2 linked regions of the Macaca mulatta genome follow. The protein of the gene in region 1 purifies or fractionates together with the protein of each later gene. This does not show direct contact. Links are inferred from orthologs where the notes say so. Each region holds a gene or a part of one and is shown in the gene's direction. Other genes may lie near its edges.

The links. The genes of interacting proteins can lie anywhere in the genome.
Region 2: the proteins of SF3B4 (region 1) and DDX42 purify together in Homo sapiens (affinity purification with mass spectrometry; 3 studies listed by BioGRID and IntAct, with this or other methods). This does not show direct contact. The link is inferred for Macaca mulatta from reciprocal best matches to the Homo sapiens genes SF3B4 and DDX42.

The regions. Positions count from the first base shown.
Region 1 is NC_133406.1:117,227,394-117,231,368, forward strand, and holds the start of SF3B4 (splicing factor 3B subunit 4), read left to right. Parts: upstream 1-1,174; 5' UTR 1,175-1,226; coding exon 1,227-1,260; intron 1,261-1,692; coding exon 1,693-1,821; intron 1,822-2,059; coding exon 2,060-2,602; intron 2,603-2,931; coding exon 2,932-3,138; intron 3,139-3,975. UniProt on the Homo sapiens protein: Component of the 17S U2 SnRNP complex of the spliceosome, a large ribonucleoprotein complex that removes introns from transcribed pre-mRNAs.
Region 2 is NC_133421.1:73,599,112-73,602,632, forward strand, and holds part of DDX42 (ATP-dependent RNA helicase DDX42), read left to right. Parts: intron 1-840; coding exon 841-945; intron 946-2,348; coding exon 2,349-2,468; intron 2,469-3,521. UniProt on the Homo sapiens protein: ATP-dependent RNA helicase that binds to partially double-stranded RNAs (dsRNAs) in order to unwind RNA secondary structures. Unwinding is promoted in the presence of single-strand binding proteins.

The DNA.
Region 1 (3,975 bases):
TTAGTTCCTACGGATATTTTTGTTTCTTGTCATTTGAAGGATTAAGAAACAAAAACAATCCAGAAATTGATCGGTTTTTTTAGACCAGTTCCATCCCTTCTGGATAACCAGATGTTAAATCGTGAGATCAGAGATGCTGTTCATCAGTCCCAACAAGATGGCCTACAGATCGCATTCTCACCTCGCCTTGCTGCTGCTTTAATTCCAACTTCTATTTCTTCCCTTATAGTTTTCTATGGGAATGAGGCGGATACAGGAAACACCCTGTCTCCTCTGTATTTTTGTAGCGGAATTTTCTATTTAAGGGGCTCATTAAAGCATAGTATTTATACACATTACTGGCATTGTTTCTTGTGTTTGAATAAAGGATTCTCCTAGGTAGGAAAGTGGTGGGTAAAAGGTGGGTATGATCCAAGAGAGGAAGGCATCTACTGTATTATTGCTAAGGAAATAGGGGAACTGGATTTGGTGAGACTCTGCAGAATTCAAGTGCAGTTTGGGGAAAGGATTCTGTGTGTGTCTCCCATTTAGAGGCAGATGGGGCCAGATTGTTCTAGAGATCCAGACTGAAGTCTCTGAGCTCCGATCCTATCCACCCCTCACCTGTGGTCACACACCACCTTGGAGCAGCCCTCACCCTCCCCATGCAATTACGACGAGATGAGCGCAGACGTCACTCCAGCTCAGACATTTCGCAGTCTCCTCCCCGAGGGAAAACCAAATACCTCCAGCCCAAATCAGGGCTGTTGAGGCCAAATCTGCAAGAAGGTTGCAGGCGAGATGGAGGGTTCCCTCTGCGCCTGAAAGCAGCCAAGTCCTCGGGTTGGGGGGACTCTTCAGCACATCCTTCTCTGGACAACAAAACATCATCACTGGCTACAAAATACATGAAAACTGAAGTTTTTGTTCTTTTAGCTTTCGAATTTACATTTTTGGGAGCAGTGTGATTCTTTCAAGTCTAGCAGTGCATTAAGACGGTCTGAGCGTTTCCGTTCCGCCCTCCTCGCTAAGACCACTAGCAGCAGCACCTCTGCGCGGGTGCCGAGGACTCCACCGCCCAACCCGAGTTAAGTCTTGGAGGCTCCTAAAATGGCTGCAGCCGCTTCCAGGCCCCTCCTCTTCCGCGGCTCCGCCCAGCGCTACGTCCTCCTTCGCCCCGGAAGTGGAAGTCGTGCTGAGGTCAGAAGGCGGAACCGCTGCTGGGAGACGGCGGGAGCTCTTTCGCCATGGCTGCCGGGCCGATCTCCGAGCGGAACCAGGGTAACTGGAGGGGGAAAGTCTGGAATGGGCTCAGCGTGGCTAGGAGGCCCCTACTACAGCCAGAAGTGCCTCTGCAGGGGTGGGAGACTGGACTCATCCATTCCCCAGAGGGCGCGAGACCGGCCCCGTGCCTCCTGGGGGCGGGGTGGCCAGGTGCTGGCTGAGGCCTGTGGGTGTGATACTTACGTCCAATCCCCTGCTGAGTTCTCACTCAAAAAAACAAAAAAATCCACTCAGAATACTAAATTAGACTTCAGAGGATTCCTGAAGTCCTGGAGAGAGAAGTTTAAGGGTTTAACTTTTTTTTTTTGCTCCTGTCCCCTACCCGCGTCCCCAGTTCCCCCGGTTGGGTTCCATCTTCATGTTTCCATCACCTCCTTCTTTCATGTTATACTCTCACCCTTGCTCTAACTTTCTGCTCCCTCCCTTCAGATGCCACTGTGTACGTGGGGGGCCTGGATGAGAAGGTTAGTGAACCACTGCTGTGGGAACTGTTTCTCCAGGCTGGACCAGTAGTCAACACCCACATGCCAAAGGATAGAGTCACTGGCCAGCACCAAGGTGAGTACATGACAAGGGGCAATTTGCTTCCGGAGGGTCCCGGCAGTATTCACAACTGTTTTGGAATAACATGAGCAACCTAAAGTATTTCTTTCTTTTAAGCCTCTGTTCAGTTTATTTCTGGAACCATTCTTAAGTGAGATTGTTTCTTTCTTGTTCTTTGTGATTAGAGGGTAGATGAGTTTTACCCCATTTTCAATCTCTTATGTTGTTAACCTCCTCTTCTCCACTTCTCCAGGCTATGGCTTTGTGGAATTCTTGAGTGAGGAAGATGCTGACTATGCCATTAAGATCATGAACATGATCAAACTCTATGGGAAGCCAATACGGGTGAACAAAGCATCAGCCCACAACAAAAACCTGGATGTAGGGGCCAACATTTTCATTGGGAACCTGGACCCTGAGATTGATGAGAAGTTGCTTTATGATACTTTCAGCGCTTTTGGGGTCATCTTACAAACCCCCAAGATTATGCGGGACCCTGACACAGGCAACTCCAAAGGTTATGCCTTTATTAATTTTGCTTCATTTGATGCTTCGGATGCAGCAATTGAAGCCATGAATGGGCAGTACCTCTGTAACCGCCCTATCACCGTATCTTATGCCTTCAAGAAGGACTCCAAGGGTGAGCGCCATGGCTCAGCAGCCGAACGACTTCTGGCAGCTCAGAACCCGCTCTCCCAGGCTGACCGCCCTCATCAGCTGTTTGCAGATGCACCTCCTCCACCCTCTGCCCCCAATCCTGTGGTATCATCATTGGGGTCTGGGCTTCCTCCACCAGGTAAAGCTTTTGGTTAAAATTTGTTTGTCTTAAGGTTGGGGGAGAGAGTCAGGAGGAAGAAAAAAAGAGCCTGAAAGGGGGATGGGACATGGAGTCAGTGAGTGATGGGAAGAGGACTGAGGGGTGATGGTAGTGGTGGAGAAGAAAGTTGTTGGGTTTCTTTAGGAGGGTGAAGTTGGTTGACTTTTCTAACATTGCTTTTGATTTTAGAGCACTGGGAGGAGGGGGAAAGAGCTCACCCTGCCCAGAGAGGCCAGATCAGGACAGGCTCTTTAAAGACATTTTCTCCTCACTACCATTAACTTTTCCTTTTTCCATTTCCTCTATAGGCATGCCTCCTCCTGGCTCCTTCCCACCCCCAGTGCCACCTCCTGGAGCCCTCCCACCTGGGATACCCCCAGCCATGCCCCCACCACCTATGCCTCCTGGAGCTGCAGGACATGGCCCCCCATCGGCAGGAACCCCAGGGGCAGGACATCCTGGTCATGGACACTCACATCCTCACCCATTCCCACCAGGTGGGATGCCCCATCCAGGTAGGTGTGCTTTGTTGGGAGGGAAGAGCTTGGTAGAGCATCTCTGTTACCTCTCACCCTGCTGCCCTTTGTTCCTCAACAGTAACAGTTTCAGAGTTTCCTTTCCTTCAGACATTCTATTATAAAAACATACAAAATACTCTCTAACATCCACCTCCCTGTATCCATTTCTTAAGTTTTTCTGACAAGAAGACTATACTTGCTGGTTTTTATTTCTTTAACCTTTAGTTCCATTCTCTTCTCTGACTCCAGCTCAAAGTGGTGACCTAATTGCCAAATCTCAGGGACACTTCTCCTCCTTATCTAGTTTGACCTCTGATGTACTTGAAACTAGTCGTGTCCTCCTGTTTGAAATTCTCGTCTCTTTTTGCTTTTGCTTTTCTAGATCCTCCACCCCTCTGACTCCTTAATCTCAGCTACCATGATAGACTCTTGTCTACTTGTGCCTAGATTTTTGTGCTTGTTTCTCTTTTCTGCATATATCTATAGTTTTAATTGAGCATATACTGATGCCTCCTAGATCTGTATCTCTAGTCCATAGCTGTTGACATTCCGGATCCTTAATGCTTTAATGCTGCTGCTTAATAGATAGCGTCATTTTTCTGTCCCTCTCCTTCAAACCCATTCTTTCTCTAGCAGTCTTTTTTTTCAGGTGCTTAATTCATGAATCTGAGAGTGATGTTTGACTGCTCCCTATCACCCCACTCTTAATACCAAGTCTTATTTAATATCAGTGGCATCTCTCCCCATGGCCAGTGCCCTAGTTCAGTCTCTCATTCCCTCATTATTTAACACTTAATTTATTGTAGTAATCTCCTTCCACTTGGACTCCAGTTT
Region 2 (3,521 bases), on another chromosome or scaffold:
GGAGCCCAGGAGTCTAGCCTGGGCAACATAGCAAGACCCTGTCACTGAAAAAAAAATTTTTTTTATAAAAAATAATTTAGCCAAATTGATAGGTGGTGGTGTGCTTATGTTTTGTATACCTAGTACAGTAAGCTATGAAAAGAATAATACAAGTGACTACTACTCTCTCTGGAATTGGAAATGCTTGGCCATACATTTTTTAAAAGTTACAAACAGCTCCACGTTTTTAAACAGAATAGAACTCCCTCTAAAAGCAGAACTATCTCCAAAAGAAATATTAGGAATGTTTTTAAATGCTTAGAGCTAGGTTAAACAGCTTAATTCAAAACATATTTAAATGTTATATGGTGAAATATCTTCTCTGTCCTCTGAGGTCTTTGGCATTATAGAGATTCCTTAGTCTCCTTCAAGCTTGTTCAAATTCGAGGTTTCCTTAAGAGTCTCTTTAGGAAGTAGGTTGGTGTTAGGCCAGGCACAGTGGCTCATGCCTGTAATCCCAGCTACTTGGGAGGCTGAGGTGGCATGAGAATTGTTTGAACCTGGGAGGCGGAGGCTGCAGTGAGCCAGGATTGCACCACTGCACTACTGGCTGGGTGACAGAGCGAGACTGTGTGTCAACCAAAAAAAGAAGTAGGTTGGTGTTTATATTGAAAATAGGAACAGAAAACAAATTATCTGTACTTTTTAGGATCTAAGTTGAGAATAAATTAATTTTTTTGCTTTCTCTAGCTGGAATGGCTTTACTTGTGTATTATTTGGAAAAGATTATTTTGCATTAAAGTCAAACTTACAGAATTGACTCTTGAATTCTAGACTAACTTTGAATAATTGGACCTGCAGATTGACTATCCACCATTTGAAAAAAACTTTTACAATGAGCATGAAGAGATAACCAACCTCACTCCACAGCAGTTAATAGATCTCCGACATAAGCTCAATCTTCGGGTAAGACAATCATTAAGCTCAGTATTCTTATATCAATGTTAATTAGTCCAGATTTAGTATTATTATTGGTTATCTAAACTAATAACCTTGAATTTCTTTTCTAGTGATCTCTGAACTGTCTTTGCCAGAATAATTATTATGTCCCTTCTGTTCACGTCTCTTAATTTGATTGTTTTAGTCTTCTAGATGCTGTTTTAGGATAAGATCATTTTCTTCTTTCATATTTCAGTGAATTTTGTATGTTCTGTGCTGGATGGGCTAGTGATGAAGGGTGGGAGTCCCCATCTAAAGGAAGAGGAAACAAAATTAATAGATGTTAACATATGATATCTTAGAATATTTTGAAATTAATATAAACTTGTCTGTCAAATTACATATAGTATGCTTTATTTTAAAAATTAGAATAAATTAATACCTTTTAAAATACACATGCACTGATTTCAGAATGGTTTAAACTGCCTACCAAAAGTTTTGAGCTGCACATTGGCTACATTGGTTTAAGGTGCTGATAGATGGTAAATGAAACACACAGAAAGAATATGCTATGCTATCTACTCTTAATATAGACAACTTTCTTGCCTGTGTGCACCTTATCAGTTGCTACACGATGTTTAAACTCCTGTTTTCCAGGAGGGGTGTGTATTTGGTGTGTGTACACTTGTCTGTTTTCCAAGAGGTACTCACCTCCCCAATGACCCAAGAAAATTTTTAAGTAAAACGTTTAACATTTTTTTCACTTAAAAATTTTTAAGTGAAATCCTGACTGGAAATGTCAGCATCACCAGAGGAGCGTTGAAAGGTTACTACTTTGGGGGACACAATGGAGATTATAAGCCCCATTCTTCACCTGGGTACAGTTTGAACAGGGCTTGACAGTGGCTAGACCATCAGTCACTAAGGGAGACGTTAATTCATCAGGCACAACTGAAAATGGAGGCAGTAGATTATGTCTTTGTAGCCAGCATATGTAGAGTTGTCTTATTTGGAGCCAACTTGGAATTTTCATTTCAAAAGTAAGATACGTTAATTTTTTTCTACCCTCTGGTTAATGGTTATGTAAAATGGCAAAAGAAAGAACAGTAATGACTTCCCAATTCATTGAACAGTTTTTTTTCCATTTTGTTTGTTATGAGAAAATTAATTTTGATTTAATAAATTTTTAGTTAATCATTTAAAATTGTATGACAATTATCTTGGGAATATTTGTCATGGAGTTTTTAATATGGGGTTTATATTTGTTACCATTTGAGGTTTTGCCTTTTCATTGTATGATTTTGGCTTACAGACTTGTATTTTCACTTCATACTCCAGCTAAAATGCTAGATCCAGGTAAGTATTGTTGAACTTCAAATGCTGTTAATGTTGAAGTACAAGTCATTCTGGGGAGTTGTCTCTATCTCTAGGTCTCTGGTGCTGCACCTCCTAGACCAGGAAGTAGCTTTGCTCATTTTGGGTTTGACGAACAACTTATGCACCAGATTCGGAAATCTGAATACACACAGCCCACTCCAATACAGTGTCAGGTACGTAAAACATAATGAAAGAAAAATAAAGTAGGGTAATCTTTTGTGACTATATTAGTTTAAAAACAAATCACAGTAGTAAAACTGTTTAGTGTAGAACCTTATTGATAAGGATAGAGGTATTTATTACTCTAAGAAGTCACTAAATGGCTGGCAAATATTCTTTTGTATCTGATACATATCTTGAAAATATGATATGAAGAAAATAATTTATTAGGTCTAAACGTAACCATAAAGGTTTGTATATGGACAAGTTTAGTGCTGTCAATGACTAGAATTCCCTTGTCCATCACTTGAAAATTCTCATTCATTACTGAAAGTTTTAGCTTCTTTTTCCCATTTATATATGGGACTTATTTATTCTTATGAAGAAAATTCTCATTTTCTGTATATGAATGAGATAGTCTATACCTCCTCAAGGGGAGAAAATTTTTAAAAATTTTAGCAACCCTTCATTATAAATTGCGATCTTTCTGGTTTTTTTTTTTTTTTTTTTTTTTTTTTTGAAGACGGAGTCTCACTCTGTTGTCCAGGCTGGAGTGCAGTGGTGCGATCTTGGCTCACTGCAACCTCTGCCTCCCAGGTTCAAGCAATTTTCCTGCTTCAGCCTCCCGAGTAGGTGAGATTACAGGCGTATGCCACCACACCTGGCTAATTTTTTGTATTTTAGTAGAGATGGGGTTTCACCATGTTGCCCAGGCTGGTCTCGAGCTCCTGAGCTCAAGCAGCCTGCCCACCTCGGCCTCCCGAAGTGCTGGGATTACAGACGTGAGCCACTGCCCAGCCTTGATTTTTCATTTCTGTATTTTAAACAAAATGGAGTTGTTTCAGTTCTGTAAGTGGTGGCTGATATCCACATAATGAGAATGATGTCATTTCCTATAAATTAAGAAGTTAATGAGAATGTTGGATATTGATATTTCTATTTCACAACCAGTATGCATAGCACCGGATATGTTTTGTTCCATTGCATATAAAAATGTCATTAGTAGTCATTTATCCTTCCCCAGGATTTGCTTCAGTACACCTTTAGAATTGAAATTTTAGAGTGGT